Linked DNA regions of Cricetulus griseus. The protein of the gene in region 1 interacts with the protein of each later gene in a pairwise test. Links are inferred from orthologs where the notes say so. Each region holds a gene or a part of one and is shown in the gene's direction. Other genes may lie near its edges. The genes, in order: Ccnd3, Rbl2, Crabp2, Eif3k, Vdr, Cdk6 and Atf5.

What was found.
Region 2: the proteins of Ccnd3 (region 1) and Rbl2 interact in a two-hybrid assay, tested with the Homo sapiens proteins (2 studies listed by BioGRID). The link is inferred for Cricetulus griseus from reciprocal best matches to the Homo sapiens genes CCND3 and RBL2.
Region 3: the proteins of Ccnd3 (region 1) and Crabp2 interact in binary tests that used the Homo sapiens proteins (3 or more experiments, as listed by UniProt). The link is inferred for Cricetulus griseus from reciprocal best matches to the Homo sapiens genes CCND3 and CRABP2.
Region 4: the proteins of Ccnd3 (region 1) and Eif3k interact in a two-hybrid assay, tested with the Homo sapiens proteins (2 studies listed by BioGRID and IntAct). The link is inferred for Cricetulus griseus from reciprocal best matches to the Homo sapiens genes CCND3 and EIF3K.
Region 5: the proteins of Ccnd3 (region 1) and Vdr interact in a two-hybrid assay, tested with the Homo sapiens proteins (2 studies listed by BioGRID and IntAct). The link is inferred for Cricetulus griseus from reciprocal best matches to the Homo sapiens genes CCND3 and VDR.
Region 6: the proteins of Ccnd3 (region 1) and Cdk6 interact in binary tests that used the Homo sapiens proteins (3 or more experiments, as listed by UniProt). The link is inferred for Cricetulus griseus from reciprocal best matches to the Homo sapiens genes CCND3 and CDK6.
Region 7: the proteins of Ccnd3 (region 1) and Atf5 interact in a two-hybrid assay, tested with the Homo sapiens proteins (2 studies listed by BioGRID and IntAct). The link is inferred for Cricetulus griseus from reciprocal best matches to the Homo sapiens genes CCND3 and ATF5.

What each region holds. Positions count from the first base shown.
Region 1 is NW_023276806.1:256,945,192-256,949,039, forward strand, and holds the end of Ccnd3 (G1/S-specific cyclin-D3), read left to right. Parts: intron 1-922; coding exon 923-1,082; intron 1,083-1,725; coding exon 1,726-1,862; intron 1,863-2,249; coding exon 2,250-2,417; 3' UTR 2,418-3,347; downstream 3,348-3,848. UniProt on the Homo sapiens protein: Regulatory component of the cyclin D3-CDK4 (DC) complex that phosphorylates and inhibits members of the retinoblastoma (RB) protein family including RB1 and regulates the cell-cycle during G(1)/S transition.
Region 2 is NC_048596.1:166,771,791-166,775,330, forward strand, and holds part of Rbl2 (retinoblastoma-like protein 2), read left to right. Parts: intron 1-256; coding exon 257-421; intron 422-859; coding exon 860-971; intron 972-3,540. UniProt on the Homo sapiens protein: Key regulator of entry into cell division. Directly involved in heterochromatin formation by maintaining overall chromatin structure and, in particular, that of constitutive heterochromatin by stabilizing histone methylation.
Region 3 is NW_023276806.1:66,518,728-66,522,763, reverse strand, and holds the start of Crabp2 (cellular retinoic acid-binding protein 2), read left to right. Parts: upstream 1-1,201; 5' UTR 1,202-4,036. UniProt on the Homo sapiens protein: Transports retinoic acid to the nucleus. Regulates the access of retinoic acid to the nuclear retinoic acid receptors.
Region 4 is NC_048602.1:6,873,583-6,877,092, forward strand, and holds part of Eif3k (eukaryotic translation initiation factor 3 subunit K), read left to right. Parts: intron 1-293; coding exon 294-368; intron 369-2,631; coding exon 2,632-2,698; intron 2,699-3,510. UniProt on the Homo sapiens protein: Component of the eukaryotic translation initiation factor 3 (eIF-3) complex, which is required for several steps in the initiation of protein synthesis.
Region 5 is NC_048595.1:394,401,402-394,405,534, reverse strand, and holds the start of Vdr (vitamin D3 receptor), read left to right. Parts: upstream 1-1,312; 5' UTR 1,313-1,393; intron 1,394-4,133.
Region 6 is NW_023276806.1:221,710,870-221,715,048, forward strand, and holds the start of Cdk6 (cyclin-dependent kinase 6), read left to right. Parts: upstream 1-1,358; 5' UTR 1,359-1,783; intron 1,784-1,957; 5' UTR 1,958-2,201; coding exon 2,202-2,434; intron 2,435-2,519; exon of another isoform or gene 2,520-2,830; intron 2,831-4,179. UniProt on the Homo sapiens protein: Serine/threonine-protein kinase involved in the control of the cell cycle and differentiation; promotes G1/S transition. Phosphorylates pRB/RB1 and NPM1.
Region 7 is NC_048599.1:153,651,701-153,656,033, reverse strand, and holds the start of Atf5 (cyclic AMP-dependent transcription factor ATF-5), read left to right. Parts: upstream 1-1,506; 5' UTR 1,507-1,568; coding exon of another isoform or gene 1,569-1,810; exon of another isoform or gene 1,811-1,925; intron 1,926-1,988; exon of another isoform or gene 1,989-2,045; intron 2,046-2,781; 5' UTR 2,782-2,891; coding exon 2,892-3,069; intron 3,070-4,333. Other genes in the region: Il4i1 (L-amino-acid oxidase), read right to left, coding at 1,569-1,810.

The sequences.
Region 1 (3,848 bases):
TGTTCGGGAGGTGGGGCTGGGATTCTCATGTTGTCTGGATATCGGGGAGGGTGGCCACCTTCCCTCAGTGAGGACCCCACACAGTCTGGTTGCCTCTTGCTTCCTTGGAGGCTGGATGCTGTTGGTTACCAGGGCAAGCCTCTGTGCCTTACTTCTGGCTCTGGCCCAGGCTTTTTCTGTAGGCTCTTCTAAGTACCCTGGGGCTGACACCTAGGTCGTGGGACAGAGAGAGGGACAGCTGTTGCTGGGGTCCTGGAAGAGGTTGGGTGGGGCTGACATTTGTACCTCATTGAGGAGTCAAACCCATGAGTTCCTTCCTGAGATAAAACAATGAAGAAATCCTCATGTGTGCAACTCGGAAATGCAACTCAGGCCAGGACTTGGAAACCCAGACAAATGAGCTGGGGTTGGGGCTCCTAGACTACTACTATGACCTCTTATTGGTTATGTAGGCTTGGGCAGATGCCTCAGGGGCTATCTGGATTCATCCTGTTTGGCTTGGCCTCCGTGTCTTGAGACAGGACCCACCCCTGGTGTCCCACAAAAGGGGTGTGGGTGGGGTTGGGTAATCTCCCCTTTGAGGAACCTCAGGAGTGCCTCATGTTCATTCTGTCTCTTTAAGAGACCAGGCTGAGATGCAGGGCCAGGGAGGGACAGGCTAATGACTGTGGCTCCCCTTCTGAAGTCCTTGCAGTTTAGTCTTTCTGCTTCAACTGATGCTGGCCTCACATTCATGGGAAGACTAAGAGGGATGTCATGCCATTCTAGTACCCAGTAATGATGAATAGATGCTCAAGAAAATGCCCTGAATTCATCATTCCAAGGTGCTAACTCCTGCAGCCAGAAGTAGAACTGTAAATCTTCTGCCATATCCTGACCTGTTTTGCCAGCCACTGACTCCATGCTCATCCCCTTTCTCCAGGAATGGGAGGTGCTGGTCCTGGGGAAGCTCAAGTGGGACCTGGCTGCTGTGATTGCACACGATTTCCTGGCTCTGATTCTGCACCGCCTTTCTCTGCCCAGTGACCGACAGTCCTTGGTCAAAAAGCATGCCCAGACCTTTTTGGCCCTCTGTGCTACAGGTAAGAACCTTGGACACGGGGTTTTCCAGTTTGGGAAAAACCATGATTTGAAGGCTAAATAGTAATCAGGAGATTGTTTCCATACTCAGAACTATTCATATAGGATCTTTTTTTTTTTTTTAAGATTTTATTTATTATGTATACAACATTCTGCTTCCATGTATATCTGCACACCAGAAGAGGGCACCAGGTCTCATAACGGATGGTTTTGAGCCACCATGTGGTTGCTGGGAATTGAACTCAGGACCTCTGGAAGAGCAGTCAGTGCTCTTAACCTCTGAGCCCCTCATATAGGATCTTGGTGATCCTGGGATGGAGGTATGAGGCACTGACTAGCCTGAGGCCCCCACCCTAGGGGTTTGGGTATTCTCTAGTTCCTGACCAGGTCCAGCCTGGGTGGAAGGAAATTTTGCTGTTCTCAGATCTCAGAAGGTTGGGTGGGGTATAGTGGTTCAGTGATTTTGTGCATGCCTCAGTCAGATGCCAGCACCATGGACACACACACCAAACACTCCCATTGTCCCTGAGTCACCCCACCCACCACTGGGGGTTCCCAGTATGCTGCATCCATGCAACCTGGCATGCTGTAACAGGAAACAGAGGTATAAGATGACTCTTCTCATGGCTCCCTTTCTTTTACAAGATTACACCTTTGCAATGTACCCTCCATCCATGATCGCTACAGGCAGCATTGGGGCTGCAGTTCAAGGCCTAGGAGCCAGCTCTATGTCTGCAGATGAGCTTACAGAGTTGCTGGCAGGAATCACAGGCACGGAAGTGGTAAGTCTCAGGCCCCATTCACAAAAAGCAGTGTTATCCCTCAAATCCCCAGAAGAGGGCAGCATCCACCCCCAACTCCAGTTGTACAATTTTGCCTGCTTCTGTGGCCTTTTATCTCCTGCCTCTGGAGAGGATCAGGTGGGATGAAGGACACACATGTAGCTGCCCCTCTCTTGCCAGTGGTATGCTGCACCAAGGGGTGGGAGACTTGGTGTCAGATGCAGGGCTGCTCTCACACCCTTGCCACATCCTCTTGCCAGTTTCTGAGAACTGAGACCCAATTCCTGGGCTGGGTTGTGGCCTAACCTCCCCAGACTTCCCGATGTGCAGGGGGGTGGCCTTTCCCTTGCACCTGCCTGTTGTTACTGACCTTGTTGTTCTTCCTAGGACTGCCTGCGAGCCTGTCAGGAGCAGATCGAAGCTGCCCTCCGGGAGAGCCTCAGGGAAGCTGCCCAGACTGCCCCCAGCCCAGTGCCCAAAGCCCCCCGGGGCTCTAGCAGCCAGGGGCCCAGTCAGACCAGCACTCCCACAGATGTCACAGCCATCCACCTGTAGCTTGGGACAGGCCCCCTCAGGTGGCCACCAAGCAGAGGAGGGGCCACTGCCACCCCTTCCCTTCCTCTAGGAACAATCCATGCTATATCGGAAGCCCGATGGGGGGTCCTCCTTCCCCTCACAAAGCCCAAGGGGCCAGGTCCTGCCTATCCCCACAGTTGTGCACTAAGGTGCTGGTTGGCCATGAGGGCTCTGCATGGCCAGTCAGCTCCTCCTCCTTCCCACCTGACCAGCTCAGCTGTTCTGGGCCATGCTGGTCAGAGAAATCCAAACAGGTAAAGTCCATGCACCAGCATTCCTTGTGAGTCCCTCCTCTCTGGGGCTCTAATTTTCTCAATTGCCAAAACGCCCCAGTTCCTTCCAAAGGTGTTGCCCCTCCTAGGGTCAGTGCATTTGGATTCGGGTCCTTCAAGCATCCTGATAACCGTGCATGAGGTACCAAATAGATGGCTGCTGTGTAATCCATGCTCCCAGCTGCTCTTGGAGGGAACAGCCTAGGCCTTGGTCAGAGGGGCAAGAACCTACCAATTCTTGCTTTGCTTCCTGCTTAGCTTCTGTGATTGAGGGCTCTTTGAGGGGTGCTGATGGTCATTTTAATTTATTGCTTTGAATACAACTGTAAGAGGGTACAGTGAGGCCTGTACCCCACAAGCGGTGGTAACCCTGGTGGTTGCTGTTTCCCTCCCCTCTGCTACCGCTTTGTGGTCCAGGAGCTGCTACAGCCTGGGATGGGGCCGTGCCTTCCTCTCCTGAGGCCCTGTACCTCGTCTTCCAGCAGAGGGTTTGAGTAAGGATGGATGCTGTGGAGGACAGAGCCTATCTGGAGAGGTCCAAGCCCTATTGACACAGGTCTTTCCTTAGGCCACAAGGTTTGGGCTGGTGGCCCATTTCTATCATGCTGCCTTAATAAAGATTCCGGAATAAAACTTGCTTTGGCTCTTGAAGTACCTGGGGCTGTGTGTAGAAGCAGGGAGGCACAAGTCAGCTGTCTCAGGTAGGGAACATTTCTTCTTAAAGGCAATGTGGCCCACTTTACCGATGCACTTCTACAAGTTATGGTTTAAGGAGTGATCACCATGCCCCAGAGGGCTCATGGGAAAACAGGTCTGGACAGTTTTATGTAAAACAAGAATTTTGCTGTACTCTGGCATGGTGGCCTATTCCTGTAATCTTTGGTGGCACTCACAGGGCAGAGGAAGTTGTTTTAGTCTACCCTGTGCTACATGGCAAAATCTTGCTTCAAAACCCACACGGGGACCGCACTAGTGGCCCAGTAGCTGAGAGTATGGGCTACTCCTGAGAGCTATGATTTGACCACAACCATCAGTAACTCTAGTCTCAGGATCTGATGCCATGCAGGCACAATGCTCATGTACATTAAAAAACAAGAGATGGATGGGGTAGGAATGTGTCTGGAAATACTTTCTCTGG
Region 2 (3,540 bases), on another chromosome or scaffold:
TCATTTCATTAATTTTTTTTTTTTTTGAGAACGGTTTCCTCTATGTAGCCCTAGAACTAGCTGTCCTGGAACTAGCTCTTGTAGACCAGACTGGCCTTGAACTCACAGAGATCCACCTGCCTCTTCTTCCCAAATGCTGGGATTAAAGGCATGTGCCGCGACCGCCCGGCTCATTTTGCTTTTATACTCATAAAACTTTTGCATGCAAAATCATAGTAATTGTTACTCAGTTAACCAGGGCATTTTCTTTTTTCAGGTAATAGAAGTATTTATTAGAGCAGAAGATGGTCTTTGCAGAGAAGTGGTGAAACACCTCAACCAGATTGAAGAACAAATTTTAGATCATTTGGCATGGAAAACAGAGTCCCCACTGTGGGACAGAATTAGAGATAATGAAAACAGAGTTCCTACATGTGAAGAGGTTTGTGACAATATCTTAACACCTATCTGTAAGGGAAGCATATCAATATTGTTTATGGTCCTCATGCTACAGAGAGTGGTTAGAGCTGGGGTCTGCCCTTGGCAGGCATGGGTTTGCAGTGTGGTTAATGGTTTATTCTTGTATCAAAGAGGAAACAGAATCAGGTTCTTTGAGGAACCTGTAACTGCCCTCAAGATTTCCATGACAGTAAAAATTAAGGCTGCTATCCTGACCCTCCAAATCAGTAAGGAACATTGGTTCACATGTAGTATCCGGTATCAAGTTTGAATCTCTTAAGACTGAAGATTTTAGTGTTAGTAATTTTATTAAGAAATAACTAATCAGACAAAAGTCGTTTCCTTTTGCCTTAGACTATTACTGTATTTCTAGTGAAATGCTTTTCTACTATTAAGATTTTGTGGAAATAACTCTTTGTAGGTAATGCCACCTCAAAACCTAGAAAGAACAGATGAAATTTGTATTGCTGGCTCTCCCCTAACCCCGAGAAGGGTGAGTGAAGTCCGCAGTGATGCTGGAGGGCTTGGAGGAGGTAAGTCTAAAATAGGAAGAGGAGTGTTTGCGTCTTCAATCTAGATACTTAGATTTCATCTAAACCTGTAAGTAAAGTGAATAGGCCATGCAGAGCAAAGACTATTCTATGTCTTTTAGTGATGTATTAATCACTTAAAAATGCTTTTTTTCCTGGGCAAGAAGATTGGGACAGGGTCTTGTGTAGTCTAGGTTGGCCTTGAACTTGCTATGTAACTTGCTATGATGACCCTGTACTCCTGACTGTCCACTTTCCAAATGCTGGATTCCAGGTGTGTATCACCACTCTTGACTTAAATATGCTTTTAAGGAATATTAAGAACATAAAAACATTTTTGAGAGATGGTTTGGTTGTATAACCCAGGCTGACCTTGAATTCTAGATTCTCTTGTCTCCACATCCCTGCTACAAGGACTACAGGAGTGTGTCACCATGCCATGCTTACGGGTATCTTTTTAGAACACTTTACATTTGATTTGGTCTTCATTTGTAAGTGAATTTTTATCTGTAAACACACAAAAAAAAATGGGAAAATCAAACTGTTAATAATACTTACATTGTTAACTATAGAATTCTCAGTGAATTTTTCATTCTTTCAACTATATCTTCCTTTTTATGGTTTTGTTTTGCAATGTTTATTAGAGATAGGAGTCTCACTATATTGGCCAGGCTGATTTTCAATCCTTGGTCTGGTCCTTCTGACTCAACCTCTGTCATAGATGGGAATATAGGTGTGTACCACCACACCTGACTATTCTTAAAGATAGAGCTATGAGATCTGGTTAGATACAGATAAGTCAGTGAGACAGGATGGCTTCATGGTTGGACCATGTTCAGCTTTGTGACTGGAGCTATGCTACTTAGGGTAATGTGATATCCATACTGGCCCAAGAAGTACAGAAAATACAGGCTTAAGTTTTTGCTGGCTCCTGAGATGACTGCCTAGGTGCAAGGTTTATATTTATGTATGGGAGTCTGTCTTCTTTGATTTTCTTTCTATTTCTCTCCCCTGGTGCTGGAAATTCAAGACAGGGCCTCCCAAATGCAAAGCACACATCCTGCAATAGATGGAGTACACCTCCAGCTCCACAACTGTTTTCAAAGAACAGTTGTATAGTTCCAGAGAGCTCTGCATCCATCAGAACATTGTCATTACTAAGCCAGTTTTATAATGTACTTGGTAACCACTAGCTATCAAAGGATCAGTTTTAAAGTCAAGTTTATTCCAAGTCAGTGCCGTATCAATAAACACAGATGATACAGAGTGTGGTGACACTCCTCTGTACTCAGCACTTGGAAGGCTGAGGTAGGAGGGTCTTAACTTTAAGGCCAGTCTACTTTAGCTACAAGAGACCCTGACTCAAAACAATAACAGACAACAGAAAACCAAACTAACTCACTAATTAAATGCTTTATGAAATTTTCTCACTTAAAATTGTTTTTAGATTTATTTTAAGTTTATGAGTGTTTCACCTGCATGTATGTCCACACACCAGGTTTGTGCTTGTGCCTACAGAGGTGGAAGGTGTTAGATCCTCTGTAAGTGGGGTTACGGATGGTTGTGAGCCACCATGTGGCTGCTGAAAACCAACTCCACGTCCTCTGCAAAAGCAGTGCTCTAAAGTGCTGAGGCATCTCCAGCCCTTGCTCATTTCTCAAAGAACAGCAATAATTGTTTAACTACTTTCAGTCATACAGACCTGGTTTCAGATCTGATAAACTAGTCTTTTCAGTACCATTTTTGTAGTTTTTCCTTCCCAAGTCTGTGAATTATAATTTGTCATTTACTTCTTGTTGTGCCCAAGTTGTGAAGACACCTAGAGACCACCAGGGAGACAGACCCACTGAACTGTAAAAGCAAGGTTTTATTGTTCATCCAACCATGACAGGGACCCTGTCTGGCTAGCCAATGCAGCAGCCTCCAGAGGGAGTGAAGTTCCCTGTCTACTGCTAGGTTTTAAAGACAAAAGTTACATCAGTAGGTATGGGTTGGTTTCTGATTGGGTGATATATGGGAACAATCAGGAGAATTTCTCAAAAGTCGTATTTTGGCATGAAATACCTGTGTACCAATTATTCTCATTGGTCAGTGCTGAGAGGGAACATTCTGTGGTTTCTATGGCTTTGTCTTGTTACTTGCAGGTGGCCTGTTGTACATAGATACCAATAGTTTTTAGAACTATATCCTGGAAACTACAGGGGAGGTTTTGGTCTCCCCTGGAGTTTTTTTTTTGTTTTGTTTTGTTTGTGGCCAAACAGTTCCTAGGAACCAGGATTCTAGGAGGCTTGGGAGGGGGGCAGTTGGAGTTTCTTTGTGTCTAGTTTTGGCTCTAGGCTCCTGGAGGCCAGAGGATCTGGAGTTTCCTTGTGTCAGAGGCCTAGGTGTTTTTTTCTGTAGCCTGTCATGGCTGCTAAAGCAGGGACTGAGTGAGGGTCTGATCCCTTCACTTCTGTTTCTCTGTACTTCCTAACTTGTCTCTTTATGAATCTACATGGTTGGATCCACAGCTCTGTCCCAGTCTTTATGTCTTCTTGTAACACAGGGAAAGTTAAGACACAGCTTCCAGGGT
Region 3 (4,036 bases), about 190 Mb from region 1:
TTGTAAATAGTTTATGAGAGTCTCCAGATTATAACTCAAAAGAGGAAGAAGGCAGGAATGCCATGATCTGGCTGCTGGGGAGGGAACTGGAGCCCACACCCAAAGAATCCAGACTGGCTGCCCTATACCGGGCTAGCTGGCAGAGTAGGTAGCAAGGTGTCCCTGTGAGCCGGGGCCCTAGGACATGGCTCTGAACTAGCTACCAGTGTGGTAGGAAGACCCACCACTGACAACCCAGATCATTGGAAAACCAGGGTTTGGGAGGTATGAGACCAAGACCATGAGATAGTAAGAGTGTAGTTGGCAACTACAAAATTCATGAAATACTGGCCTCTTTAATTACCCAGAGATATGTTCTTGCTAATCCCCAAGTTCCAAAGTTCCCACTTAGATGTCTTGGCCCAAGTTAGAAGGGGAATGGCAGCCAGGAAAAAGTGGGGGAGGGGAGCATCATTTGGACAGCATATATGCTCTGGTAGGCTAACAAGTTCAGAGTCCAGAGTGCTAACCATGGAACCCCCTCTTAGGCTAACAAGTTCATAGGCCTCAGGTCAGTGCCCTCTGGGAGTGAGGCACCCTGGGGCCCTGACAGACCAGAGTTTGGGGTGGTTCTGGGGCAGTGTCGTTTTTTCTTTGACACCTGGCATTTTCCAAAGCTGGTACCCACAGAAGAAAACCAGAACTTGCCACTTCATACATCTTTTCCCCATTTTGTTCATGCTGCCCAGAACAGACTATTAGATCTAGGTCATTATGGGGCCACCTCTCCTCCCCATCTCCTGCCCACTAACCAGCTCTCTGGCTTTGCTATTGGAAAGGATAAGAGTGGAAGTCAGGAGAAGAACAAGGCCTTGGCTGGGCTAAGGAACCAGACTCTGAATTCCTTTTTTAATCTGAAGCTTTATTACTTGTTTTAATTTATGTGTATGTGCTTGGCTGCATATATAGTGCATTGCATAAATGTCTGGTACCCTGAAAGGCCAGAAGAGGGCAACAGGTCCACTGGAACTGGGGCTGGTGAGATGCTCAGTGGTTAAGAGCACTGACTGCTCTTCCAGAGGATCCAGGTTCAATTCCCAGCACCCACATGGCAGCTCACAACTGTCTGTAACTCCAGTTCCAGTGGATCTGATACCTTCACACTAATGCATATAAAATGAAGTTTTTTTTTTTTTTTTTAAAAAATCCCCTGGAACTAGACTTAGAGAAGATTGTGATGTGGGTGCTAGGAATCAAATCCAGGTCCTCTGAAAAAGCAGCATGAGTGCTCTTAACCACTGAACCATCTCCATGCCCAGACTTATAACCCTGCTTATCTCTTCTGATTCAAGATGACAAGGCGGGGGGGAGAGGCCCAGTATCTGGGCTGCTTGCCTCTGTCTCTTCTTCCTCCAGCCACCAGATAATATCAAAGGTATGGGAAATCAGAAGGTCCCAGGTCCAGCTCTTTTTCTGTTTCCTACCTCAAAGGGCAGGAAAGGCACCACCAGGGAAGTAACTGGATTGGGGTTCTCCAGCCCCTGTGCCTTGGGCAAAGTGGAAGAGTTGGAGGAGGCTGGGCTGTCCAGAGCTGTGTGACCTTTTCAGAATAGGCCACTTTCCCCAGGTGCCATAAAACCCACCTGCCACGCTTGTAGGACTTGTCCATGGTTACAGTCCCATCCCTCCTCTCCTGGCTGCTAGGGCTGAATGCAGGACAGTGCTGATGGCAGATGGATGCAATACTAGGAATCAGACCAAAGAGCCAACACAAATGTAACTGCAGGTCATCTCCATGCAGGGGACTGAGACTCAGTCTGGACACGTCCTCAGCCAGTGCATCCCTACCCCACCCTCCTGTCTTCCTGGCTCAGCCAGCCCAACCCAGCCCAGCCCTGAGGAGAGCGTTGGCAGCTGGAGCTGGGAAAAGCATGGCAGAGCCAAGAACAACAGAGGCCCCGCCTGGGTGCTGCACAGACCCTCATCTGGCTTGGGGTAGCCCCTCCTTCTGCTCCAGCCCTTCCTATTGTTTCCTCTCAGACAACTGTGCTGTCCTGCTGGCCCTGCTTGCCTCCTTTTGCCAGACCTCAGGCTGACCCTGCAGGTCATTGCTTCCTCTGCTTTTGGGTAGAACCTCCCCTTAACCTCGGGTTTCTCAGGAACCTCTACCACCCTTTCCTAGTTCTCAGAGAGTTCCCACCTGCACCCAAATGTTTCTGGGAGGTGAGTTGTTTCCTAGGTCCCTGACCCTGTACTTCAGCTTTGGGGCTCTACTGCCCTCCATTCTGCTACAATGACAAAGGCTGGGTCCCTAAGCCAGGGAGATAGGAGAAGGCACAAGAGTCCCTTTTTCACAGAGGATCCTAATGGAAGGGAGGATGCTGGCTCTAAGCTCTCTGTGCAGTTCTGAGGATGCAAGGGCTCGGGAGACACAAGGCTAACTAAACACAGCTTCTTCTGGCTCAGAGCCCCATCACTACCTTCTGTACAAGTGTCCAGACCAGCCTAGCTGACTTTCCCAGTAGAGGCAATAACACTGGCCTGAGGGACGTCCTCCACCGGTGTTGACTGACCTTAGAGCATCTCCCTAGTCCTGGCTGAGGCTGAGTGTGGGGATTTTGTGACTTTCATACTCCGCCTCTCCCATGATAGTCTGGGTGGTTCCTCATCTTCTACACAGCCCCAGGGGTAGGGATATAGATGGCAGAAGTGTCCAAGTCCCACACTGCGACCCTCCACCACACACAGTCTACTCTACCTACACTTGTTCCTTGCTGCCGTCTCAGCCCATCTCTGTTCCTCTGCTCTGAGCTGAGACCACCTTCCTCCTAGCCACACAATGGAACAAAGCAGGGGAATATTCCTTCAGTCTCCTGAGCTCCTGTTTCTTCCTCATTCCACCCTCAGCTTGCCTCTGCTTCCCTATTGTGTCTCCAAACTTCTGGCAGGAGAGGGAGCCCCACCAGGCGTGTGATCATGGGGATGGGGTCACTTGGGGCAGAACTGCAGTAGATTTGGTTATAATTGAAAGGCCAGAGGCACCGGGAAATTCCTTTCCTTATTGATCCCAGTGGGAAATTAAAGCCAGGAGTTGGGCATGGAACTCTTATTGGCTGCAGCTCCTCCCATCACACAGCTCTGGGGCCCTAGCCCCTGCCCCCGTCGGTTGCATCCCCCATCCCTGTCTCTGCTAGCCCTCATCCCAGTGCCTCCAGGCTCTCTCATCTCTCAGTGTCTCCTTTTCCCAGCTCTTACCTAAGCACTCCTGCTATTCCCCCGGAATAAAAGGACTGCTGGAGGCTGAAGCCCCAGCCCTAACCAGTCAGCATATTGTCCCCACCGTCACTCTCAAGTTGGGGTGCTTGAAGCTCTGATCCTGAGCAGCCAAACCACTAACACATCTGGAAGAAATTCCGCGCCCAGTCCTACTTCCCTTTGTCTTACTTCTGTTTCTGGAAATCTTAGCCAGTTGCTAGAGGAGGGGGTGGTGGGGATGAAGCGTAGGGAGTGGGCCCAGGGCTCCCACTCCCACCTGGGGAAACCTCCTCCCAGGCTCTACCCTCTAGGATTCTCCTTCCAACTACCATCCCAGGCCTGGTGACTGTAAGGTCCTCAAAGCTCCTGGGAAGAGTTAGGGCTTGTCCTGCCCTTTTCTCTTACATGAGGGAGAATGCCACCCGGGTAAGAGAGTGGGCTTTCCTGCCTCTGGGCCCCAGGAGTCTGGAGACGTGGAGATGGGTACAATAGCCGGTAGAAGAGAGAGCGGCCACACTGGAGGGGTGGGCAGCAGGCGCCTGATTCCTGCCTTGTTCTCTCCACCGGTCTCTCCATTTCTTGGGTTAGAAGCTGGATTTCACTGTCAGAACCTAAAACCCTCTCATGTATCTATAGCAGCAAGGCCACGCTGGGGGCGCGGGGCGGGGCGGGGCGGGGAGCGCTTCAACCTGTACTCAAGAGTGTTACTCAGCCCCCCCCCCATTTCTCCCCACCTCTGCAGTAGTCTGTGGTAAAACTGCTCGACCTGGTATCCTCTTTCTTCCTATGGCCCCTATGTTGT
Region 4 (3,510 bases), on another chromosome or scaffold:
TGTTCTTGAACTCACAGAGGTCTGCTGCCTCTGTCTCCCCAGTGGTAGGTATTTTTTGAGATGTTGAGGATGGAACCCAAACCCTCACACTTGTAGCAAGTAGGCAAGCGTTGTACTACTGGACTACATCCCTGCATCCCTGATCCTCACTCCCAGTTCCTTTTCTGGTTTAAAAAAAAAAAAGAAAAGGAAAAAAGGCAGCTGGAAGAAGATGGGTGGAGAAGGGTGAGCTAGACCCACACCACAGCCTCCACAGGTTTCCGCACTGTTTCCTTAATACCTCCTGCTGCCAGCAAGAAGAGCGGCCCATCCGACAGATCTTGTACCTCGGGGACCTGCTGGAGACCTGCCACTTTCAAGCTTTCTGGGTAATGTCTTTTGGATGCTGGAGTACTTGCCTGGCATGTGGGAATCCCGGGGTGCCATCCCCACACAGTGTTTCAGAAACCAGACATGATTGGTGCACACCTGTATTTCCAGAAGGTGGGAACGGGAGGGCCATCCCAGCTGCACAGAGTTGTTTGAGGCCAGCCTGAGCTCCATGAACAGTGTCTCAAACACGAAAAAGCAGTGGTATCTGCTTGGTCACAGGCTCTGTCCTCTGTCCCCTGTCCCATCTTCACATAGAACCAGGACTACCGGGTCATTCATTCTTTGCACCCGCATTGCTCAGGCTGGCCCTGTCTCCTATACTGTCTCTTCAGATGGAAACAAGCCCTGTTTATCCACTCTGAGCACCCTGCCTATCCAGCCTTCACATGGGAAGGCTGAGCTGGGCAGGTGGGTGGCCCCTGCCTGAGGTACCAGGTCTTAGGAGGCTGAGGATAGAGTTCCGGGCTAGGGGCTGCAGAGGTGACTTGGCGGTTAGGAGCTCTGCCTCACAGCCCTCTGAAACTCTGACTCCAGGGGATCCAGCATGTTTGTCTGGCCTCTGTGGTCACTGGCCATGCACCTGGTACACAGACATACATGCAGGCAAAACACCCACACCCATAAGATGTGTGAGTTTTTAAAATTAGAAATAAAAAGGTAGGTATTGTTGCAAAGGACCAGAACTTGGTTCCCAACACCCTTGCTGGGCAGTCTCTTCGGGCCACCGTGGGCACTCATGCTCACATAGATACACTCACCTACACATAAAAGTAAAATGTTATCTTTTTCTTTAAGATTTATTTATTTATCATGTATACAGTGCATGCCAGAAGAGGGCACCAGATCACATTACATACAGATGGTTGTGAGCTACCATGTGGTTGCTGGGAATTGAACTCAGAGAAGAACAGTCAATGCTCTTAACCCCTGAGCCATCTCTCCAGCCCCCAAAATGTTATCTTTTGAAATAAATCTTTAGAAAAAAAAAGTTGGAGTCAACTTTTGCTGCATAGGAAGACTATTTAAAACACAATAGCAAAAAAGTAGGGGAGAAGAAAAAAAAAAAGCCTACAGTTCTCATGGGCCTCCAGCCTGCCAGTGTCTGCAGTGAGCCTGTGCATGTCTACTGTGCTTCTAAGAACAGCTTCAAAGTCGTTTGAGGCCCTGCTCTGCTTTGTCCAAGGCAAGGCTATAGAATATCAGACAACTGTGTGTTCAAAACAAAGTCTCATGTCTCAAACATTCCTGTTAAACGGTCAAGTCAGGGGCAGTGGCTTACCCTGCTCAGTGTCCTTTTCTCCCCATGTTGACTTAGAAAGCGCTGACGGGTTTGTGGTGCCCTCTGCCTGGCCCTCACGACAACTGCAGATACCCCCCCCCCCCCCCCCCCCCCCCAGTTACCTGGGCCTTGCAGGTCCCTAGCTTCCAGCTTCTTTCCTGCTCTGACCCTCAGTCATTCAGCGGAACCAGGGCTGGGCTGGGTTTCCTGCCACCTTAGTGGCTGCTCTCCACAAAGTGCAGCCTCTCCCCTCCCACTCCTGTTGAAGGGAGTTTCGCTGGGGGCTGAACCCTGAAGAGGGTGAAGGAGGAGCTGCAGGGATACAGCAACACAAAGGGCCTGAGGTGGACAGGGTGTGGCTGGTTGTTAGGGTCATGAGGAGGCCCCGGCCACTGAGGGAGGTGGAGGTGGAGGTGGGGGACCCGCCAATACTTACGAATCACATCATATAGAGTCCCTTGATAACAAGGCTACTTAGACTTCTTAGACGTCTCTCGTTGTGGATGTACATGCTGTAGTTTGGTTGTTGGATGTCCCAGCCATGTACATTGGCGCACGCCTTTGATCCCAGGACTGAGGAGGCAGAGGCAGGTGGATCTTTTAATTCAGTGCCAGCCAGGTCTACAGAGACAATTCCAGGACAGCCAGGGTCACATAGAGAAATCCTATCTCAGTAAAAACAAACTAAAGACAGGCATGTTCTCCTGAACCAAGGCTGATCAAACATGCTATGTAGCTGAGAGTGGCCTTGAATTCCTTATCCTCCTGCTTCTAGCCTAGTGCCAGGATTACAGGCACTGCCACCATAGCCAGCAGTAGGTTTGTGTTATTTGTTAGATTTGGAGACAGTTATACTGTCACCTAGTTGGGCCAGGAAGTTGAGATTCTCCTGCCTCAGCCTCCAGAACATCAGCACGTGCTAGTGAATACCCACGACAGTACTGCTAATGTTAACACTGAGGACATCATTCCTTTTGCAGCAAGCCCTGGATGAAAACATGGACCTCTTGGAAGGCATAACTGGCTTTGAAGATTCTGTCCGAAAATGTGAGTCCTCTCTGGTGTGGGTTCCTGAGGGGCTGGGGACAGTGGCAGCAGGGTGCTAAGAAATGGCCTCCTCACTGTTCTATAAGTGGTGTGACCTAGGAGAATGGAGCTGGCAAACAAAGCAGACTACAGTCTCATGTAGTAGCCAACTTTATCCAGAGCATCAGACAGTTTATACTCTGAGGCTAAGAAAGATCACATGAGCCGGGCGTTGGTGGCGCACGCCTTTAATCCCAGCACTCGGGGCAGAGGCAGGCCGATCTCTGTTCGTTCGAGACCACCCTAGTCTACAAGCGTGAGTGCCAGGACAGCCTCCAAAGCCACAGAGAAACCCTGTCTTGAAAAACAAAACAAAAAAGATCACAATGCGCAAAGTTCACAGGAGTGCAAGCCCTTTACAATCACAAGGATAAGCTGTTGGGAAACATTTTTTGTTTTTCTTTTGGATTATTTTGAGACAGGGTTTCTCTGCATAGCCCTGGTGTCCTGGAACTTGCTCTGTAAACCAGGTTGTCCGTATACTCAGAGATCCGCCTGCCTCTGCCTCCTGAGTTAAAGGCCTGTGCCACTACCTCTGACTTGGGAAATTTTTTTTTTGAATAACAAAAATTAGCAACAATGTGTAAGCTGAAGCAAACCCCCTCCTGTATACTATCCTTGGGAGGGGCACAAAAGTACCTGCCAAGAACAAACCCATATTATGGAAGAACAGAAATGGAGGTCACAAGACTCTTGTCTTGTTTTCTTGGAGTTTTCTCATAAGCTCTTAGAATTCTTCTCACACAGCTGCATTCTTAGACCATGTTCTGACA
Region 5 (4,133 bases), on another chromosome or scaffold:
AGTTTGGTTTTTCAAGACAGGGTTTCTCTGTGTAACTCTGGCTGTCCTGGAATTTACCCCAAAGACCAGGCTGACCTGGAACTCACAGAAATCCACCTACCTCTGCCTCCCGAGTGCTGGGATTAAAGGTGTGTGCCACCTCCACCCAGCCAGTCTAGAGGGGTTTAAAGCTGTTAACTCTGAAGTATAGTTACCAGAGACCACTGCCTGCCCTCAAGGCTTCCGGGAAAGGTAGTGTAAGAAAGCAATCTCTCTCTATTCCAGGACCTACCCAGGGAAATGTGGAGTCAGGAGACAATAAAAGGTTCTAGGAGAACAAGGAGAAAGAAATCTTGCTTTTGTCACTGTTATAAAATGACTTACTGGGAATAAAGCTTGGGTGGCTAAAATTCTTGTTCAGTATAAATACAAAGTGTCTTATTATAAGGTAACAAACCATATGACAGACTAATACACTCTATGGTGGCTCATTGTTGCCTGGAGATGGTGGCAAAGGTTCGATGGGATGGACAGAGCTATGAAAGAGAGCAGAGTCTGGAGGGCCAGATGAGGTCCAGGAACTGGGGGAGGATGAGAAGGACATACTAGAAGTGTGATGGTGGGAGCAAATCATAGTGTGTGACATCTGTAACCTTGCAAAATTTGCCAAATCTAGAACCTCTGAGTTCTTCATGGCAAGAGAGGATCGGGGGATGGGGTGCAGAGAACCGGGAAGCTGAGGCAAAGCCAGCTGGAATGAGATCGCAGTTAGCCAGGAACGTGCCCCCTCGCTGTGGTTAAGCCGCCGGATAGGAGAGAGCTCACAACTCCAGTCTCCAGTCCACTTGGGTCCCCCTGTGCTTGTCCTAACCGGTGAAGTCCGGCTTTGCGCCCAGCATCAGAAACTGGCCGGCGATTTCCCAACGGCGAACGGAGAAAGGCTCCTCGCAGCGCGCCGCGGGCGTCGGGGTCCCGGGTCAGCTCAGGTGCGAGTGACGCACCTGGCAAAGGCGTCTGCAGCAGACTGGGTAGAACCACGGCAGCGGGGCGGGGGTGAGGTGGCGAATACATCACGGATCACCGCAAGCAGAAACATGGATCTGCACGAACGGAATCATGAAAGACCGCCCCAAGTAGGGCAGAAGCCTGCGCCTCGCTGTGACCGGAGGTCGTGGATCCTTTCACAAAGCAGGGTCTCCTAGGCGACAGTGCAGTGGTTGACTCCAAGTCAAGAAGGTTTCAGGGCAGGAGAGGACTGGACCTGGTGGGCGTGGCTAAGGGAACAGGGCGGTCCGGGGGCGGGGCCTTGCGGGGCGGGGCCAGGTGCTGAGCCGTCTCTGCTTGTCAAAAGGCAGCTGCCGAGCCAGCCCTAAACGCCGGGAGCGCCAAGCAGCGTGTCCACCCGCCGGACCAGGTGAGGATCAGGGAGCAGCGGGAACCGGGTTCAGGGTGAGAGATTAGATTCAGGGGCGGGCGTCCGGGGTCGAGAGGTCTTAGTGCCCAGGGGCAAGAACTAGAGACCAAGTTTCGGTAGCAAAGTTGGCGATTGAGATCCGGACTGTGGTGCCATGAGGTTGGAACTCTGAGAGGGCACCCAGGTCTGAGAAAGTTGAAGTTCGTGAGATGTTGAAGAGGGGGCAGCCACCTTCCGGGATGCTTGGGGGGCTCAGCGCAGGAGTCCTTCGCTAGGACAGTTCTCACCGGACAACAAGCGTTTGTTTCCTTCCTCGGACCTGCGCTCTAGCGTGGAATGGAGGAGTAAGAAAGCAAGTGATTGGCTGTGGATGTAGCTAAGGTCTCTGGGGGTGGAGTGTGAGTAGCCTGTTTATTACCCAGTTGGGCCCATGTGTGATCACCTGTGATGGTGGAGTAGAATCCTTTAAATGGAGTTTTCTTTTGTTAACTTTCGAAAACCGCCGGTGCTTTGAGACCTAGTGTACTGGATTTCTTTATCAGAAAAGCCTGTCCACAGACGTCCAGAGGGACTCAGGGGCCAGTGTGGAAACTGAGGAAGGGATTTAAGAAATAGTTTCTGTTTGGTGAGTGAGGTTCGGAGGGAGTATTTGGAAGGGAACTGCATGATCCACTGTCGTCACGACCACTATCACCCACCTGAGGCTGCCTGCCTGTTCTGGGGGAGCCTTGCTTCTATGAGCCTAGGCCACACTCCTCTTCCTCCTCCTGCTCCTCCTCCTCTCCCTCCTCCTCCTGCTCCTCCTTGTGGTGAGTGAGTCAGCCTCCTGTCTGGGCTCAGAGCAGCAGAGGGGCCAGAGCCCAGGCAAGCAGTTGGGCAGGCATTTTCTGAGCATTGCAGAAGTTCCCTTGGACAGAGTTCAGCTCTTCCCCAGTGTCCTGGGGAAGGCCATCTTCTTCATGGACATCAGGGGTGGGGGAGTGTCATCAATGGTTATTTGATGGCCATGGGCTGATTCCAGGTGACCAAGAAGAGACTTTGACTGTTCTCTGGGATTGGAGGTACATCCCAATATTATAGGCTTACCAGCTACTGGATCCACTTCTACTGTGTTAGTGAGCCATCTTGCCTAGTAAGGCAGGCATAGAGGAGAAATCGGAAGAGAGTTTGGGGAGCAGAAAAGGCAAGCAAGGTTTTTTCCCAGGCTAGGGAGTAAGAGTGGATTCTCAGAGGCAGAGGGGGTTGTCTGGACCTAGGTCCTCAACTCTGTGAGCTAAGGGTATTTTACATTTGGGAACCATCGCTATTTCTTTCCCAGATTAACACTGGAGAGAACTGTGTGGATCTCTGTGGAACACTTTTCAGTACTGGCATGCAGCCAGAACAGGAGGTAGTAAGAGTGAAATCCTCTGCTGGTTTTGTTTTAGATACTAGAGACCCTTGAGCAGAAATGGGTAACCTGGGCCCCCACTCAGTAGCCTTTTCTAGCTTGTTTGAGAGGAACCCAGGGAGCCTGACACAGTTACATTGCCTCAAACTGTAAAGAGGTAGGAAATCACATTCTGTGCTCCGGCTTTAGGTTTGGCTATTCCTGAGCAGCCGTGACTTGGTTCCTGACCAAGACGGAGAAGGGACTGGGAAAGGAGAGAAAGGAAGAGAATCAGGCAGCCCAGCTGACCCCTCACACTTCCCCAGATACAATCCTATGCCTGTGCTTCAGGATGTTGTGCTTATTTGTAATGACGTTTCTCAGCTCCATCCCCTGTCTACCTATGAACTGATCTCTTTGAGGGACAGAGCCCTCTGGAAGCCCTCAAAAACCCCCTGGACCTCTGCCTTCAGCACAGATTGCAGGTATCCAAAGCTTAGGCCTTCAATAGAGGAAGGCCTAGGATAGTGGTTCCCAACCTTCCTAATGCTGCGACCTTTTAATACAGTTTCTCGTATTACGATGACCCCAACCATAAAATCATTTCGTTGCTACTTCATAACTGTAATTGTGATACTGTTATGAATTGTAGTTTAAATATCTGATGTCAGAATATCCGATATGTGACCGACCTCTTGTGGAGGTCATGACCCACAGGTTGAGAACCACTGGCCTAGGGTCTGGTGGGCTAGACCAAGAAGTTACCCAATACAGGAGAATTCTGTTGTACAGTTTTTCACCCTACATCCTAGGGATTGGCTACAATCAGCGTCTGGGCTGCTGCTGTCTATGCAGAATGGCAAGGCCAGGGTACCTGGGTCACATTCTGATGTGTAGCTGGATGGTGGGTTAGAGGGCTCCAGCTTCTGCTTGTCACTGCTGTGATGTTTGGGATGCAGGTAGAGGGAATAAGGACACAACCAGATTTGATTAAGAGCCTCCTGTGTGTCCCAGCATAGTGCCAGGCTGCCAAGGGATGTCAGCAGGCAGATCTCAGCAGGCCAGGCTTCTGCCTCCAAAGAGAGCTCCATGAGGAGCAGCAGCCCTGGCACCATCTCCACTGCTGTCCAGTCGAAGGCTCTGATGGGCTGAAGCCAGCTGGGCAGCTGCTCTAGACCAGCAGGACCTCACTTGTAGCTGCTGCTCTCTGATTTGTCCTTAACATTCCTTAGTGACTGTGTGATTTACTGTCCAAACTGGGATGCTCATGAGTTAAAGGGGGTTTTGTGTGTGGCCATGCAGAGACATAAACCCAAACCCAGGAGAGCTGCAAATCTACTCATCCAAACCCAGGAGAGGTCACACAGAGTG
Region 6 (4,179 bases), about 35 Mb from region 1:
CGCGGGCGCATCTGCGTTTGCGCACACGCGCGAGCCGAGGTCCCGCGGGCGGGCGGGCGGGCGGCCTCCCCTCGCTGCACCGGTGGCGACCCTTGCGGCGTTTGGCCGAGGCTTGGGGGCCGAGGCTCATGAAGGGATTTCATTGAGGGAAGACAGAGAGCAGAGACAGAAAGCAGAAGGAGGCGGCTGCAGCCTTTGTAGTCGCGGAGGAATGCGGAAATGTTGAAGCACTATGTCAAACTTTTTTTTGAAATGGGGTCAAGTCACATTCAGCCAGCGTGGGAAAGCAACAACAACAACAGAAAAGTGGAGGAGGGGATGGGGCTGGGCACCGCCGCTCCGCTCCGCTCTGCTGAGGGGGGGGGGTGCGGGCCTGCGGGGGTGGGACGGCCGCCGCCTCCGGAGCCGAAGGAGCTGGACGCGGCCGGCCGAAGGGGGAGAGCGGGCGGGCGGGCGCCGAGGCCGCGGCTGCCGCTACCTGTGTGGCCCTCGACCTGGCGGCGGACCCCCGGGCGAGTTCTGGGGGTGCATCCCGCAGCTTTTCAGGAAAGCTCTCAAGGGAGCCCCGCAGAGCCCCTGCCCTGCCCGCGCAGAGCTACGCCCGCACCCAGTGAGGGTCGCGCCGTGGGTTCTTTCATTCCAGGCAGAAAGAAGGGCGAGCGAGGAGGGGTGCGGGGCAGGTAAACGCACGCCGAGGGTTCCGGACGCGCGGCTAGCGTGGGCCAAGGTCCAGCCCAGGCTGAGGCCGCCGTGGGACGGGAAGGCTCGCTCGGTCATCCCTAACAACTGGATGGGGAGGGGACGCCCGACCGCGCGTGGGACCCGGCCTCCAGCCGCTGGGCAGCCGAGCGACCTCGGGGCGCTCAGGACACCGGGCGGAGGTTCTGCAGTCGCAACCCTAGGGCAGCCCCTCTCACACGCGGGCGTCCCGTGCTAACCCCCCCACCCCCACCGTCGGAAGGGCGGTTGCTGCAACTCGGTTGGTGCACGGGCTCAAGTCAGCTGCAAACTTAGGGACCAGTTGAGGTCCCGAAGTTACTCTTTTCCGGACACGGCGAGCCAAAGTGACCGACCTCCCTTCCCAACACCCTTGGGATCTCGGGGACTGGGGGGGGGGGCGACAACACGACACTCCTCCCCTCCCAGGGCCCCTCGCTCTCCCACCCCTGGCAGCCCCAGCCCTCCCCTACCAGATGGTGTGTCCTCCCGGAGTTTGCACCAGGGAGGTCCTCCGAGTCGGAGGCAGGGTTCTGTCTCCCACTAAGAGTGCCAGACCCCGAAGACCATTTGTGTGTGTGTGTGTGTGTGTGTGTGTGTGTGTGTGCGCGCGCGCGAGTCCCTTTTCAATGTCTCGGCAGAAAAACTGAAAGTAGAAAGAAAGGAAGCAATTTCCGAGCAGATGTCTGACCACCCCTACTCGCGTACTCCTTCCTAGCGTCGGCTTGCAGGGTCCTGGGGAGCCCCAACCCCATTCTGCGGCCCCACGCCCCGGGAACCCGCAGCGCCTACGCACCCGCTTCCCCAACGGCCCCCTCCCCAAGTCCCCCGTCCGTCCAGGCGCCCGGAGTCGGTCGGGGAGGGCGGAGGAGAAGAACAACGGTATCGGTCGAAATATTGAGCCGTGACATTGACGCGCCCGGCGCCTCCCCTCCCCCGCGCTCCCGGCACACTCTGGGCTGCTCGGCACGCCCCCTCCCTCCCGTCCCGCGCGGCGCTCATCCCCGAGGGGCCCCTGCAACCTCTCCTCGCAGAGACTGCACGAGAGCCCCGCCGGGCAAGAAAAGTAACTTGGCTTTTCTCCGCGAGGGACGGGGCGAGCTTAGGCAGCCGGGTGGAGGGCCGGGGCGAGCGGAGGGGAGGAGGAGGAGGGGAGCCGGTGGAACCCGGTGGAAGCCTTCGGGACTGGCTGGCTGGCTGATCGCACTTTCTCCCTCGTCCTCCCGTCTCCTCCTCCTAGGTGCAGAGATTGTGGGCAGACTATGTAATCGCTGCGCAGGGGGAAGAGGAGGGATCGGCGCTCTCCAGCGGCGACTCGGCTAGGCGGAGTTTCGCGGCGACTGCGCCCGGCTTTGGCCGAGGTCGCTCTGTGCAGCCCGGCGGCGGCGGCTGCGAGTCCGACTCCGGGCGGCGTGCAGGCGGCGAGCGGGCGAACGCACACCCCGACCGAACCCTCCGTGCCGCGCCGGCAGCGTCCAGCCAGCATGGAGAAGGACAGCCTGAGCCGCGCCGACCAGCAGTATGAGTGCGTGGCGGAGATCGGCGAGGGCGCCTACGGGAAGGTGTTCAAGGCCCGCGACCTGAAGAACGGCGGCCGCTTCGTGGCTCTGAAGCGCGTGCGAGTGCAGACCGGCGAGGAGGGCATGCCGCTGTCCACCATCCGCGAGGTGGCGGTGCTGAGGCACCTGGAGACCTTCGAGCACCCCAACGTGGTCAGGTGAGCGGGGCCGGGAAGGTGCCGGGCGAGCGGGCGAGGGGCGGCTGCTGACCCAGCTACAGTCACAGTGGAGTTTTGCCCATAGAAATCGGTGACCTTGACAGCCAGGGCATAAAAGGAGACCCGCAAGTGGCTTTCCTGCAGCCAAGCAGCTCTGAAATGTTTTCGCTCCCTTGCTTGCCCCAAGGGGGTGGGGGTGGGGGTGGGAGTCGTGACTGGGATTGGGTGGGTGTCTTTGGGGAACAAAACCAGACAACCTAGAAACGTCCCTCAAGCCCTTACCTACTTTTCCCGTCTGCGGGGGAAGTTTTGAGAGTCTGAGAATGAGAGAGGTATCCAGCTTGTGGTAATTAGAAGGAAACTGTAAGGGTGGAACCTAATAAAAATAAAGTTTAAGAAAATGAAGAAATGTATAAGAATATGTTTGCCAATCACATCCATGGTGGTGCCCCCCCCTTTTTTTTTTAAAGATGTAGAATGATGACTTCTGATGTTCTTAAGTTTCAATGCTGACGCCTAATGTTAAACATTGATTAAAAAAAAATAACGCCGTCCACGGCTGGGTACTAGGAACACTGAGCCGCGAAGATCCTGAGTTCAAGGCCAGCCTGAGTTACAAAAGACCCTATCTAAAGAGAAAGGGGGTTGGAGGGAAGGATGGGATGGGGGAAAGCCTCTTATAGCCATTATCTGATTGTATCATTTAGGATCTGTGGACTGGTAAGGTCGGTCTTAGACTGCCTCTCCCAAGGGTTGGATGTGAGGCTAGTGTGTGGTACTCTAAAAGCCTCTTTTCCCTGGAAGAGTTGTGCAAGTGGGTGGGGAGGCGTTCTTAACCAGCTTTCCTGTGAAGTAACTAGCTTTAAAAGAAAGTGTGTGCCTGCGTATGTGGTGAGGATAATGGTGTTTTCTCAGGGGTGCTGGGATTTCCCCAGTGTGCCTTTCATCCTTTTCTTTTTTAAACAGATGCATAGCTCAGAGTGAAAAGGCCGTGCATGGACCCTTGTACAAATTAGGTGATGATTTCACCCTTCTCACTCAGCTCTGTGTATAGGAGAATCATGATCTTGGCGTCTTCATCCTGTCTTCTCATTCCTGTGGGGATTTGGTGCAACAAATATGTGCCTACTGTGTGCCCTGGGGATGAAATTATGTAAATAAGCACAGCCAAATATTTTTGTAGAAAGTCAAACAATTTAACATTAGTCATCAAAATGGAGAGACCCAAGACTGACCTTTGAAATACCAAAGCCCTCCGCAGACTCGGAGTCTACGGAATCCTGAGAGGTTTTTGTAGTGCTTTGTTCCCAATATAGTCAGATTCAGGCCACAATGCAGCAGTGAGTCATAATATATAAATAAGTAAAAAAGACACTGTAAAGCTAGGACCCCATTATACCTAAGCTTTAGCTAGGTAACAGGGTACAGGGTTGAGGTGTGAGAATGAGTCTTCCAGAAAGTCAGAATTTACACGAAACAATAGATCAGTGTGTGTGTGTGTGTGTGTGTGTGTGTGTGTGTGTGTTAAAGGAGGTCTCTGAGAATGGAGGGACAAGAAGGGCACATGCTGACTCTTGATTACTATCCTAGAGGAGTGACTCTGTTAACAACAAGAGAATTTAATACCAAATTTCCTTCTGTCTGTTACCCGTGGAGGGTCCAGGTAAGGGTGATTATCATACATGCAAATAAAACAATGTTCTTGCAATGAAGCACCCTGTTAAACGAGCTCCCTTGCATAACCT
Region 7 (4,333 bases), on another chromosome or scaffold:
GAGGCAGGCAGATCTCTGTGAATTCGAGACCAGCCTGGGCTACAAGAGCTAGTTCCAGGACAGCCTCCAAATCCACAGAGAATCCCTGTCTCCAGAAACAAAACAACAACAACAAAAAAATACACTCCTTTTCAGTAACACAGACATGTCACCACTCAAGTGTGGTGGAAGTCAGCCAACAACTTTCTGGCGTTGCTTCTCCTGGGATAACTCAGACTGTCAAGTCTAGAGACCACCACTCAGCACTCAGGCCCTGACCTTGACTTCCAATACTCCTGCTGGCCTGGCTTTTGAATCTTTTCTTAAAAACACATCGAGGCCAGCCAGGATAACCTTGAATTCATGATCCCTTCTGCTTCCACCTCCCAAATACTGGCATTATAGGTATGCACCAACCCCAGTTTATGTGGTGCTGGGGCAGAACTCAAGGTTCTTGAGTGAAATAGGCAGGCATTCTACCGAGTTCCATCTCCAACTCTTAATTTGGGTCTTGATTTAGTCTCTCAGCTGTATCAGGCAGGCTGACTTCCAGACGGAATGTCCAGACATGGATGGCCACGGGTGGGAAATGAGATTCATGCATCAGCCTAGGGAAGGACCATGGGGCTTCTTTGACTAAATGGAATATAAACATCCAATTTCAGACAAGGCCAGGAGAAAATTATCTAGTGAGGTCAGCAAGAGACCAAGGACTGAAAGGAAGTCAGGGAAAGGGGCAAAACAATGAACCACCTGGTAAGAGAGCTAAGAGGTCGTCGCAGGGGCAGAGCACCAGCCTGTAGAATGAGGAAAATGAAGATGCCCACAAACAAAAACCTTGGAAGGTAGGCCACACAGTGTGATCACACGGACATGCTGGATGGTTAAGGGCCCGGGTGGAGAGATTCAAATAGGTGAAACGATTCGGTGGGTAAAGTCTGTCAAACATGACAACCCGAGTTCCAACTCTGGGATCCACATGGTGGTAAAACAAAACAAAACAAAACAAAACTTCTCAAAGTTGTCCTCTAACCGCCACACACACACACACAATAAAGGTTTAAAAAGTGTTAACTAGGAGCCCTGTGATTAGGACTTCGTGGCCTACCTCCCATAGCTACTCTATTTGTGCGTTTATACACATTTGGGGGGCATTTTCCTGCTGCTGCTGCTGCTTTAATTCGCTTAAAATCGCTAAGCTAGCTTGAAATCGCCATCCCACGATGGGCCGACCCACGAGGGCTCACAGGAGGCGACGTCGGTTGGGACCGGTGGCGCATTCGTGAAGCATTCGTGAGCTAGCGAATCAGGAGAGCGAGTGCTGAGGGTCCGGGCGACATGGCGGGCCCAGGGTCGCCTCCGCCCCGTCGGGACCACGCGGGGGCGGGGCGGGGCGCGGAGGGATCCGGGAGGCCCGCGCTGCGCCGCCCCCGGTATATTTGTCCCCAGGCCCCGGGGCCGCCTCATTCTCCACCTTCTCAGAACCATTTCTCCTAACGCTCCCGCCACGCCGCCTCCGCCCGCCCAGCCCCCGCCATGGCTCTGTAGCCGTGATCCTGTGGTGCCCCCGGCCCGGCTTCCGCGCTCACCGCGCCTGCACTCTCCGCTCCCGCCGTCTGTTCAGCCGAGGCCGCCGTCGCCGCCTCTCCTTTCCGCAGCCATGGAGTGAGTAACCGCTCGCCCCTCCCTCTCCAACCGCCTTTCCCGCCCTTTCCCAGAGCTCGCGGGGCTTCACGGACCAGCCGCGTGGGGGTGGGGAGACGGGGAGCCAGGAACCGCGGCCGCGCAGGCGCAGAGAGGGACAATGGTGGCCGGTGGGTCCGCTGGGCATGCGCGCTGGGCTCGAGCCGTGGAGGAGGGTATGCTTCCGGAGGGTTGGGGGTGGTGGTTTAAAGACGGCTCGCTCGCCTTCGCTCCCGCACGCTGCTTCCCAGTGCCTCTCCCTCCCTCCCTCCCTCCCTTCTCCCAGGATGCGACCCACACCCCGTGGCGCACGCGCACTAACCTACCCGAGGCCGGAACTACGAAGGGCAGCTCTAGCGGCGTTACAATGGCCCGCTTTCAGGGTGCGAGCATGCGCTTTGACGCAGAAAGGAAGGGTGGGGTTTAAGTCAGGCCGATTCCTTGAGGCGCTGACTCAGGCCCCGCTTCCCTCCAATCAGGCACCTGCTGGGGCGGGGAATGCTTAGATTGACAGGGAAGACAAGGTTTAGGAACGTCTTTAAGGAGGTGGAGCTAGCACCGCAGGGGCGGGGCCTCTGGGACTTGCTAGTTGAGGGCGGGAACCGAGGTAGACAGGCAAGTGGGCGGGGCTTCTTGTAGAGTCTGTGGAAGTCGCCTAAATTTTTTTCTATTTTTTTGATTTAAATTAGAAACAAGATTATTTTACATGTCAATCCCAGTTCCCTCTCCCTCCCCGTCACCTAAAAATTTAAGGGAAGAGTGGGATTTGAGTGTGTGACACTGATGAAGGGCCCAGGCATGGCAGAATCCCTCTGGGAATCCCTGTGGGTCGGTGGACTCTAAAGGGTGTAAACTAAAGGGAATATTGATGTGGAAGGGGCATGGCTAGAAGACAATTCCCTTGGGATTCAGATTTTTATGAAGAGGGGCTGGAGGTGATTCCCCTAGGGAAACAATAGGTTTCTGTGTTGAGGGAGGAAATGGGGCTTGTGAGTTCAAGAATTCTCTTGGGAATGTGTGGAGCTCTGGAATTTGGGGAGAGAAGTGAAGTGTGAGGGGCCTGTAGGTCAAGCAGCTTTTAACCCAACCCAACCCCACCCCCTTTTGTCTCCTTCACAGGTCCTCCATCTTTGTCTTGCTGCCTGTTGTCACCCAGCTGAACAATCTCCCAAGCTGCCTCCCCACTATTGGTGCAGCCTCCATCCGTGCCCTGCGCCTGTGTCTCAGCCATGTCACTCCTGGCGACCCTGGGGCTGGAACTGGACAGGGCCCTGCTCCCAGCTAGCGGGCTGGGCTGGCTCGTAGACTATGGGAAACTCCCCCTGGCCCCTGCCCCCCTGGGCCCCTATGAGGTCCTTGGGGGAGCCCTGGAGGGCGGGCTTCCAGGGGGGGGAGAGCCCCTGGCAGGTAAGAACAGGTAGAGAGCAGAGGTGGGTTGAGCTTGAGGCAGGGAGGGAGGGCAAGAAAAGGAAGAATGTATTCATTCCCAAGATGAGTACTGAGGGCCTCAGCTCTGTTCTGGGTGTTCAGGGTTCAGAGCAAAGGGTCCCTAAGCTCATGGAACATTAGGGAACAGCTGTTGAACTGAAAGTGATGAAAGACCTAGTTGAGAAGTCACATAACCTCCAAGTAGACAGACATATGAACTGGGGGCTAGGGGATGAGAAGAAAGGAGCCATGATAAGGCCTGAGGTGCTTCCATCTAAGAGACTCTAGGGCAGACATCATTCTCTCTTAACTATAACAGCAATTGCAGCAATAATAAGTAGCTGGCCCTGGTGGCACATACCTATAGTTCCCCCTTTCAAGAGGCTTCTCATCCTCTTGAGCCCATGAGTTTCAGGCCAATCTAGGCTTCTCAAAAACAGAAAACAAGAATGAATAAAGATGGAATGTGAGAGACAGAGAGCAAGAAAGAGAGATCCAGAGAGAGTGAGAGAGTGTGTGTGTGTGTGTGTGTGTGTGTGTGTGTGTGTGATCTTAGCACCCTGGGGGAGAGGAAGAACCATCTAAAGTTAAGACTGCCCTCAGCTATGTTCAGGGCCAACCTAGACTACATGAGACCTTGTCTCAAATAAATAAATGAGTAAACGAGAGAAAACATAGGTATAGGGGTATAGTCAACCAGCCCTACAGATAAGACAATGGTTTCAGAAGTAGTAGCTGACTTGAGTGGATCATTAGTTGGTTGACTGCTTCACTAAGTGGTTAGCCTATTATTCCATTGCTTAGTTGGTAAATTAATTGGTTGGTTGACTGACTTGACTCATTGATTGGCTTGTTCACTGATTGGTTAGTGAGTTGATTAGTTTATTAACAAGTCTGGTGAACTGTTTGATTGGCTGATTGGTTGGTTGACTGGTGAACTCTGGTTCATTGCTCACTTCAGTGGGTTACTTGGTTGGCTACTGAACTGTATGGTTGGCTGATTGGTTAGTTGCCTCATTCATTGTTAGTGGATCAGTTTGTTGATTGATTGGTGAAGTATGGTTGGCTGATTGATTGTCTGACTTTTTCATTGATTAATGAATTGGTTGGTTGGTTGATTGGTTGGATGGTTTGTTACATGACTGACTGGTTTGTTGGTTGCCTGATTCATTGGGTAGTAGGTTGGTTGGTTGGCTGATAGATTCTATGGTTCACTCATTTGTTAGTTAATTCATTGGTTCGT